Linked DNA regions of Sus scrofa. The main gene of each other region encodes a partner of the protein of the gene in region 2 in a complex. Links are inferred from orthologs where the notes say so. Each region holds a gene or a part of one and is shown on either strand. Other genes may lie near its edges.

Evidence for each region.
Region 1: the proteins of RAD9A (region 2) and RHNO1 are in contact, whole or in part, in a crystal structure (PDB 8WU8), measured with the Homo sapiens proteins. The link is inferred for Sus scrofa from reciprocal best matches to the Homo sapiens genes RAD9A and RHNO1. Residues at the interface, in NP_004575.1 of Homo sapiens: Val41, Ser44, Arg45, Ser46, Ala47, Tyr48, Glu130, Leu132, Gln133, Ala134, Val135, Glu165, Tyr181, Glu183, Thr216, Phe217, Cys218, Gly244, Pro246, Val261, Leu262, Ala263, Thr264, Leu265, Ser266; in NP_001239428.1 of Homo sapiens: Thr88, Lys90, Phe91, Pro92, His93, Leu94, Thr95, Phe96, Glu97, Ser98.

The regions. Positions count from the first base shown.
Region 1 is NC_010447.5:67,243,172-67,247,748, forward strand, and holds the start of RHNO1 (RAD9, HUS1, RAD1-interacting nuclear orphan protein 1), read right to left. Parts: upstream 2,980-4,577; 5' UTR 2,832-2,979; exon of another isoform or gene 2,774-2,831; intron 1-2,773. UniProt on the Homo sapiens protein: Involved in microhomology-mediated end-joining (MMEJ) DNA repair by promoting recruitment of polymerase theta (POLQ) to DNA damage sites during mitosis.
Region 2 is NC_010444.4:5,126,717-5,131,294, forward strand, and holds the start of RAD9A (cell cycle checkpoint control protein RAD9A), read right to left. Parts: upstream 3,025-4,578; 5' UTR 2,895-3,024; coding exon 2,861-2,894; intron 2,776-2,860; coding exon 2,705-2,775; intron 2,278-2,704; coding exon 2,149-2,277; intron 1,170-2,148; coding exon 1,055-1,169; intron 967-1,054; coding exon 867-966; intron 1-866. UniProt on the Homo sapiens protein: Component of the 9-1-1 cell-cycle checkpoint response complex that plays a major role in DNA repair. The 9-1-1 complex is recruited to DNA lesion upon damage by the RAD17-replication factor C (RFC) clamp loader complex.

The DNA.
Region 1 (4,577 bases), on a different chromosome or scaffold from region 2:
ATCTCCATATGCCGCGGAAGCGGCCCTAGAAAAGGCAAAAAGACAAAAAAATAAATAAATAAAATAAAAATAAAAATATGATATTCCCAGTCATGGTTTCATTCCTATTAACACAACTAACACTATACATTTAACATAAATGTATAAAATACATACATTTATATTTTGTATGTATCTATATAATATACAATATATATTTACATATGTAGATTCTTTAAATAGTAAATATCAAATAACCAGTGTTCAAATTTTCAATTGTCTCCTAAGTGCCATAACTGGTTTTTGTTTGTTTCTGTTGTCCTGGCAGCAGCGTGAAAGGAGAGAACAAGTGCCCTGGAAGTAGGGGGACCAGTGAGAAGGTTATTGTATTACCTGAGAGCAGATGAGGCCAGAACATGGGCTGTGTCATGTAGGGATGGGAGGCTGGAGACAGAGGCAGGGTCAGCAGGACCCACAAAGCAATACAAAGTCTGAAAAAGCATCCAGGGAACCTAGAACCAGATCAGCTTTTTTTTTCTTTTTAGGGCCACAGGTGTGGTATATGGAAGTTCCCAGGCTAGAGGTCAAATCAGAGCTATAGCTGCCAGCCTTCAGCACAGCTACGCTGAATCCTTAACCCACTGATCGGGGCCAGGGATCAAACCCATAACCTCATGGATACTTGTTGGGTTCATTACCGCTGAGCCACAACAGGAACTCCCCAGATCAGTTTTAGTAAGAACTTATCAATGGTTGGTGGGACCAAAGTCTGAATGCAGTGGGCAGAAGAGTAGGAGGTAGGGCAGGGCATCCCAGAGGTCCACACAGCAGGGCAGACTGGTTCTACTATACAGCCATGACTCATCCATTCAGTCAACAACAAAAAAGCAACATCCCTCATGTCACTAAGCAGTGGAGATGCAGGTAAAGAAAAATAAGGACTAAGTCTCTACCCTCAAGGGTAGAGGGTACCCTAATATTTTAGGGGGAACATAGGTAATAAATACATCCATTTGTTCATTCATTTACTCAATAAATATTTACAGAATGACTATTTTTTGGGCACTGTTACATGTGCTGAAAATATTTACCAGATTACAAAATTCAATCCCTGCCCTCGTGGCGCTTACATCTAGTTGGGAAGTGATAAGAGGTACAGATAAAAGGGAAATGGCCTAAGGGCTGAGCTGACCTAGGGCTGTTTAGACCTAGGGCTGGTTGGGAGGACCTATCTGAAAAGATGTGAAGAAAAACTTGCATGAAGAAAAGAGAACAAGGGAGTTCCCATCATGGCACAGTGGAAACGAATCCAACAAGGAACTGTGAGGTCTCAGGTTCGATCCCTGGCCTCAATCAGTGGGTTAAGGATCTGGCGTTGCCGTGAGCTGTGGTGTAGGTCGCAAATGCAGCTCGGATCCCGGATCCCGTGTTGCTGTGGCTGTGATGTAGACCAGCAGTTACAGCTCCAATTTGACCCCCAGCCTGGGAATTTTCATATGCCATAGATGCAGCCCTAAAAAAGACACACACACACACACACAAAATGCAAATCATTATGTTGTACAACTGAAACTAATATAATGTGTTATGTCAATTTATACTTGTAAGGGGGGGAAACAGAATTATAGGGTTTAGTGATAGTTCAGTACTAAACTTGGGATCAGCATTAGTGGCCATCTATTTTTTCTGAGACTTGTTTATTAGGTTCAACCCAAAATTTGATAAAAGTAATCCTTTGTGAAAAATAATAACATTACCCTACTCCTCTTTCTCCTACTCCCTCTGGCCCCCACACCCTTCAAGTTCCAACAATTCTGGCCTAGGGCAGTGCAATAGCCTAACTGGCCTACTCAGGCACACCCCTCCGTGAACTCTTTAAACTGCAAATCTAATCCTGACTCTCTTCTGCTTAACATGTTTTGATTCTCTGTAAGGGCCAAACTTTTCAGTGGTGGCTAAGGTCCTGAGGCTCTGGTTCCAGCTTCATCTCACACGCACTCTGCACAGGTCTCTTAGCTCACACTCCTCAGAGACGCTTCAGCCTCTGTGCAGACCTCCCTTCCTCCCCTCCTACCACACTGCCCTGCAGCACCTCCCACCCTTTGCTTTGAGGGTCTCCCTCCCACCTTTGCCTAAAGGTATCAGATCACAGACCAAGCATGAGTTCCTGGGAAATGCTCTTCTCACCTCCCTTAAGGCCAGATCCTCTTACTGGAGATACTCAATGTGATCCCCGAGTTCTAATTTATCACCTCACAGTTGAACTCTCCATTTGTTTAAATAGGTAATTTGCTTCGAAAATGTCTTCTTTCTCCTCCCATCAGACCTTAAGCTCAGGAGAAAGGCCCCTCTGCCACTGCATCCTAGCGCCGCCTGGTGCACAATGGGTGCTCAACTAAACTTAGGTGTTGCCTAAGTTAATAATAAAGTAATTTACCACATATAAACGATAGCATGGGGCCGGGGACGAGATTTGGATTGAAGGTTCAGAGCCGAGGCGGAGTTTGCGGCCTGTATGTAAATTTTGAGGAGGAGGGAGCTTGAACAAGGTCACAACTGCGCCCAAGTAGCCCGAAGGCCGGTAGGGGCTCCGGACGGTCGCTGGTTGCAGGTCAACGGAGGACAGTTCCCCCATCCCCTCCACCAGCTGGGAAGTCGCTGAGGGGGTAAGATCCCGGGGCGGCGACTGCTCAGGGCCCGGAGGGCTGCGGGGCCTGCCCGTGATACCCAGTGTCCCCGCGTCCCGCCGCAGCGGAGCCCTCCAGCGCCCTCCCCAAGAGCCGCGCGCCCGCACCTCTAGGTTCCGCCTCGCCCGCCGCGGCTTCGCCGGCGGTCCCGACTCCCCAGCTCACCTGCCTCACCCGCCGCCGCTCCGCCGACCTCACTGCCCGGCGGGGCCACCTCACTGGCCTCTCCCGCCTGCCGAGCAACCTCACCTGCCGGGCTGGACCGCAGCGCCCGCCCAGACGACTAGGCGGATCGCGGAAACAAGGCCGCCGCCGATTGGCCACGCCCGTCACGTGACCGCAACGCTCCGCCGGCGCCAATTTCAAACAGCGGAACAAACTGAAAGCTCCGGAGCGGGACCCCACCCCCGGCCCCGGCCCGGGACAACACCCCCCCCCGCGGCGGGATCCCGGGATTCCCCACCCCGCAGCCCGGGGACGCGGCCCGGCCTGCAGGTGGGAGCAGCGCGGAGCCTCCGGGAGCCCAGAGCTGACGGTGCAGAGAGGTGAGCGGCGGCAGGAGGGAGGCCCGGGGGCCCGGCGGCAAGACGGCGCGGAGGGCCGGCTCCGGCGGGAGGTGGCGGGGCTGCACCGCGCTTCTGCACCACCTCCCGGCCTCCTCACCTCTCTCGCGGAGCGGCCCGGGCCCTCCCTGGGAGGAAGGGCGGCCTGCTCGCTCTGGCAGACGGCGGATGGGATCCATCTGAGCCCACTCCGCTTAGAACCGACACCGACCAGCTCCCAGTCCCTGCGCCCAGGTGCCCTCACCACTAGGCTGCACTGCCTCCACCCCGCCCTTTCCCAGGGCCCTCCTCGCGGTCCTGGAGACCCTTGTCCTATGTGGTCTGGATGGGGGTCGGGTCGCGGGGGTCGCGGGAGCCGTTCCGGGCTAGAAAGGATTGGCCATTGGAGGTAGAGGGTGGTCTGAATAGAAAGGAAAATTAAACTTTAGACCTGAAAGATATCCTGGGGTGAGGGGTAGGAAGCCAGTACTAGTGTCTTCTGATTGATGGGTGGAGGGAGGAAGGCCAGAAGAGATAGGAGGTGGAGGTAAAACTGAGATTTGAAGGGAGAGGAAACCTAGATGTAAAGGAAAGGGAGGAGGCAGAGTGGAGAAGGTCTGTGACTTCTAAGCAGATGGCAAATGTCATATGAGTGTGACAATCATTTTTAGGGAGATTGCAGATAGCCTAAAAAAGAGACAACCTATTCCTCTGTCTCTCAAAGCACCTCTCAGTAGAATCACACAACTCTACATTATGGTAGAGTATTCATGGATCTGTTAAAATCAACAAAACACAATTTTTAAAAGATAAAACCGATTTCCATTAACATTACAGAACCACCGGGCACATTGATGGTAGCACATTCTATTAGGAGAGAGGGATTATGGTCTTGATTCTGAAAGTTAATCGAGTCGCATGCCTAGAAAATCAAAATATGAATAAGTACTTACAAGTTATAAAATGTCTCCATATAAATATTTTGCAAATTGTGGGGAAAATGTTTTTTTTTTTTTTTCCTAAATCAGTGGAAGGATAATAGCCTGTTAAGTGAATGTCAGCCATGATCTGCACAACTGTACCCTGAGCCTTGAAGGGGGCAGTTTCCCTTTTATCTGAGGTCTCATGAACTGGGAGATGTTTCCTTCAGTGGTGTGACAATAGTGCAACGGATAATTTGCCTTTTTCCTCTGATTCTGTGGGCACAGATCCTTTAATTTATAAAGTGAAATATTATAAGAAATATAAAAGAGGGAGTTCCCGTTGTGGCTCAGCGGTAACAAACCCAACTAGCATCCATGAGGACATGGGTTCAATCCCTGGCCTCGCTCAGTGGGTTAAGGATCTGGCATTGCTGTGACTGTGGGAC
Region 2 (4,578 bases):
AGTTGCCCTGTCCCACAGCTACCAAAAGAAAAGAAACACCAGACCCTGGGTTTCTCGAATGCAAGCAGCATCCAGTGTGCAGAGGCTGTGGAGGGGAGCTGCTCCTCCCTGCTCTGGTCTGTGCCAGGAACCTTTGCATCCACAGAGTTCCCGTCTCCCGGGCCCCTTGGCACCCAGAATGCCCAGAACAGCTCCACCCCTACAGCTGCTTACTCAGGCAGCCTTCCCCCACCCAGCCTCCTGCCTGGGCCTGGGGACCCCTCAAGGCTAGAGCCCCACCAGGCAGAAAGAGAGACTGCCCTTCAAAGGGGAACATCCCAGAAGGATGACCAGGCCAGAGAAAGGTGAGGAGTCCCTGAGCCACAAAAACGTAGTGATGTTCCATGGTGCTCAGACCAGAGACCTGCTCTCTCAACAGGAGTCAGAATGGGTCTGAGTGGTCAGAAAGCCAAGCCAGACCTTTGAGGTGGAGAATACAGACTCCAGAGAACAGTGAGGAACGTGGAACAAGAGCACACCCGGCCCCTCCTCACTCCAGCCTCTGCCTTCAAAGAGCCAGATAAGGACCTGAAAGCAAACAGAGCTGGATGACCTCTCTGAAGTTCACAGAGACCCTGTAGGAAAAAGAAGGAGGTGCCCCCTTTTTTTTGCTAGGTTTGTGGCATGCAGAAGTTCCTGGGCCAGGGATCAAACCCACTCCACAGCAGCAACCTGAGCCACAGCAGTGCCAGTGCCAGTGCTAGCTCCTTAACCCTCTGAGTCACCAGGGAACTCCCTAAGGAGGTGCCTTCTTAAACTGACCCTTGAGGCCCAAAGGAGGAAGAGAAAAACCTAGGGCTCAGCCTGCAACTAGGGGGCGTGCTCACCTTGCTGGAGCACGGAGCACGTGGGGGCACAAGGCTGGGTCGAAGACGGCCTGCAGGGACTCGCAGTCCTGGAAGGACAAGTTGTGAGTCTTCCTCACCCCTGGATGGGCAGACAGGGTCTCAGTGGGCCTCGCCGACCTCCACCTCCACACCGCAGAGACGCCTGGGCCGGCCAGCTGCTCACTCACCATATCTGCAGTGCAGCTGAACCACCAGGCGGCTGCTCCTGCCACTCAGGGAGATGCAGCACTTCTCCACCGTCTTCTCCAGCATCGCCAGTGAGCGGAAGACGGACAGGAACGACTGGGTGAGGCACACACACCTAATGTTTCTACCAACCAGCTCTCAAGGCCCCTTACCCCCGCCCCCGGCCCTCTCACTGTCACACCAGGAAAAGACCTTCCACGCACACACAGGCAGACACATCCACCCTTCTGGGCCTTTGTTCATGCTGTTCTCCTTATCTGGGAGACCTCGAAAGATCTGCTTAGCTTTCAAGAACCAACTTGAATGACCTCACTCCCTCCAGGACCCTGGCTGAATCAATCACTCTCCACATCTCCATCACCCACTGTGGCCGTCTTTTTTTTTTTTTTTTGTCTTTTTGCCATTTCTTGGCCGTTCCTGCGGCATATGGAGGTTCCCAGGCTAGGGGTCAAATCGGAGCTGTAGCCACCAGCCTACGCCAGTGCTACAGCAACGTGGGATCCGAGCCACATCTGCAACCTACACCACAGCTCACGGCAACGCCAGATCCTTTAACCCACTGAGCAAGGCCAGGGACCGAACCCGCAACCTCATGGTTCCTAGTCGGATTCGTTAACCACTGCGCCACGACGGGAACTCCCAGTGGCCATCTTTTTTTTTTTGCTTTGCTTTCTAGGGGCGCACCCACGGTATATGGAGGTTCCCAGGCTAGGGGTTGAATCGGAGCGGCAGCTGCCGGCCTACACCACAGCCACAGCCATGCCAGATCCGAGCCTCATCTGCGACCTACACCACAGCTCACAGCAACGCCGGATCCTTAACCCACTGAGAGAGGCCAGGGATCGAACCTGTGTCCTCATGGATACTAGTCAGATTTGTTTCCAATGTGCCACGACAGGAACTCCTCCCCTCCGTGGCTGTCTTTACTACACCCTTGCTGCATTTTGAAGGGGATCCCTCCTGCTCCTGCATACATATCTCCCCCTAGCTGCCACCTACTAGCTGCCCCAGAGCAAGCACACTGCTGGCAGAGTTCCTGGGGGAGTCATGACCACGGCTGAGGAATGGGCCTCACCTTCATCAGGATCTTACAGCGCAATGGGTCCTGACCAGGGGTGGCCGCCTGGTACTGCTGGAAGAAGAGCGGGGCAAAGAGGAAGCAGGCATAGGCGGAGCGGGAGGAGTTCACAGTCCGGAGGGAGAGCTGGACCAGGAAAAGCAGGGAGAGGGATGCGGTCACCAGCAGTGACAGGCCCAGCCCTCTGGCCGGCTTTTGCTCCCTCTTGCCCTGCTATCCTCCGTTTCCATCAGCTGTTGAAAACCCTCCCTCTCCTGGCGGTCAGCGGATACCTTCACCATGACGCCTTCCCGGAGTCGGCCTCAGCACCTACGCATTTTACCTTGTCACCCACCCGCCACCAGACACTTGAGTGAGGACAGATGCTCTCAGCTCACACATCGGCCTGGGAAGAGGACCGGGCCCAAGCCGACACCTCAACAACAGGGGAGGAAACTGTAACTCAGCAGACAAATCTGCATAACAGCATCCTGCCTGATGGGAACGAGACTCCGAGCCCAGTTTAGGGTTCCCTGTTGGAAACCCACCCTCCCCCAATACCCTGGCCCCTCACCCCATCTTCCAGGGGCTCCAGGTAGAGTTCGTCCCCGATACGGGACAGGGAGTGGACAGCCTTGCCGAGCACTGCGGGAACGAGAGGAGAAACCCGGGTTGGGCTCGAGCCTTGGGCCGTCCCACGTGTCCCGGCCCCCGGCCGGCCTCAACTCACCCTTCACGTTGCCGCCCGTGACCAAACACTTCATGTTGCTCCCCGCGACCAGGCTGAGACTGGCGGCGGGCCCCACCCCGTACCCCGGCTCCCGGCCGCCCTCCCTCCGGGTCTCCCCCGCAGCCGCGGAGGCCCCGGGTTTCCTTCCCGCGCACCGCCCCCGGCAGCCCCGCCCCCGCCTCCTCATTGGGCCACACGCTGGCGCCTCGTCACGTGAGAAAACGCTCGCCGGCTGGGCCGTCACGTGACTGGGTCCGCAGTGGGCGGGGGGCGGTCACGTGAGCCGGGAGCGCTGGGCGCCTGCCTTGCTGGCGGCTTCTCGCCGTCCAGGCCCCTCTTGTCCCCTCCAGCCCCCCTGGGGAGCCCGGCTGGTCAGCGGGGCCCACTGCGGCTGCGCACCCGAACGCGAGGCGCTCAGAGGGTGCGGAGGAGCGAGCCCTGACCTAAGAATCTGCAGATGCACGGGGGAGCCCGCCTGGGTCACAAACGTAGTACCGATTTCCTGGGCGTCTGTTGGGATTCCGGATCGAAACAACACCGTCGCACCCATTCCGGGGCCGCGGGACACTGACAGATGCAGCAACCACCATCCGAAAAGAGATGGAAGCGGGATCTCGGGGTGGGAAGTGGCTGTTGGCTATGGCATGGAGACTCCTTCAGTGATCCCGGAGAACATAAGACTCTCCAGGCAGAAAGGAGTAGAAGGGTGTGGCTGGCAGGGGAAGCCGAGAGTAAAGACTTAGCGGTGCATGGGGCTTTGCCCCTTCAGAGGAAGATGGGTCTATGAGAGGAGAGATGGGGGGGCGCCAAATGCTGAGGGTTGCTAATGAGAAACTGGAAATATTTTACGAGGGTGGACTCCTGTGTGTGGCCATTCATTAATTTGACCGTGGCTCGCAGCAGCTTGATGTAGAATCTCAGTTCCCAGACCAGGGATTGAACCTTGGCCTGAGTGCAGCGGTGAAAGCATGGAGTCCTAACCACTAGACCACCAAGGAACTCCCCCATGTGGCCACTTTAAAAAGGCCAAGGAGTTCCCACTGGGGTGCAATGGCATCTTCCCCGTTTCTGGCCTGCGGGTATGCCGGTATGCAGGTTTGATCCCCAGCCCAGCACGGGGAGCGGTAGGGTGGGGGTTGGGGGTTAAGGATTTGATATTGCCATGGGTTGCAACTGCAACTGGGATCTGATCCCTGGTCAGGGCATTCCATATGCCACAGCACAGCAAAAAAAGAAAAAAAAGACCGAGGGACTGTGCCAAAGGCGGGGGGTTCATCAACGTAACAGGTCTACCTGTTGCCGGGGGCCTAAATCCTCTGGTGTGTCACATGAAGGAGGTCCTGGAGGGACTCCTTGACCTCTGGTTCCCTGCAGCACTCCGCGTTCTTTGAAGGGCACCCCCCCCCAACACCCAGCCTTGCCCCTCTGGTACTGTCTGCAGTGAGTAGGCCAGGTTTGTCTGCAGGTCACTGCCCTCCTGCTCCTGGCCTGCAGGGTTTTTTTTTTTTCTTTTTTTTTCTTTTTTTGGCTTTTTAGGGCCATACCTGTAGCTTATGGAGATTCCCAGGCTAGGGGTCTATCAGAGCTGTAGCCACTGGCCTACACCACAGCCACAGCAACACAGGATCCGAGCCATGTCTGTGACCTACACCACAGCTCATGGCAACACCAGATCCTTAACCCACTGAGTGAGGTCGGGAATCAAACCTGCAACCTCT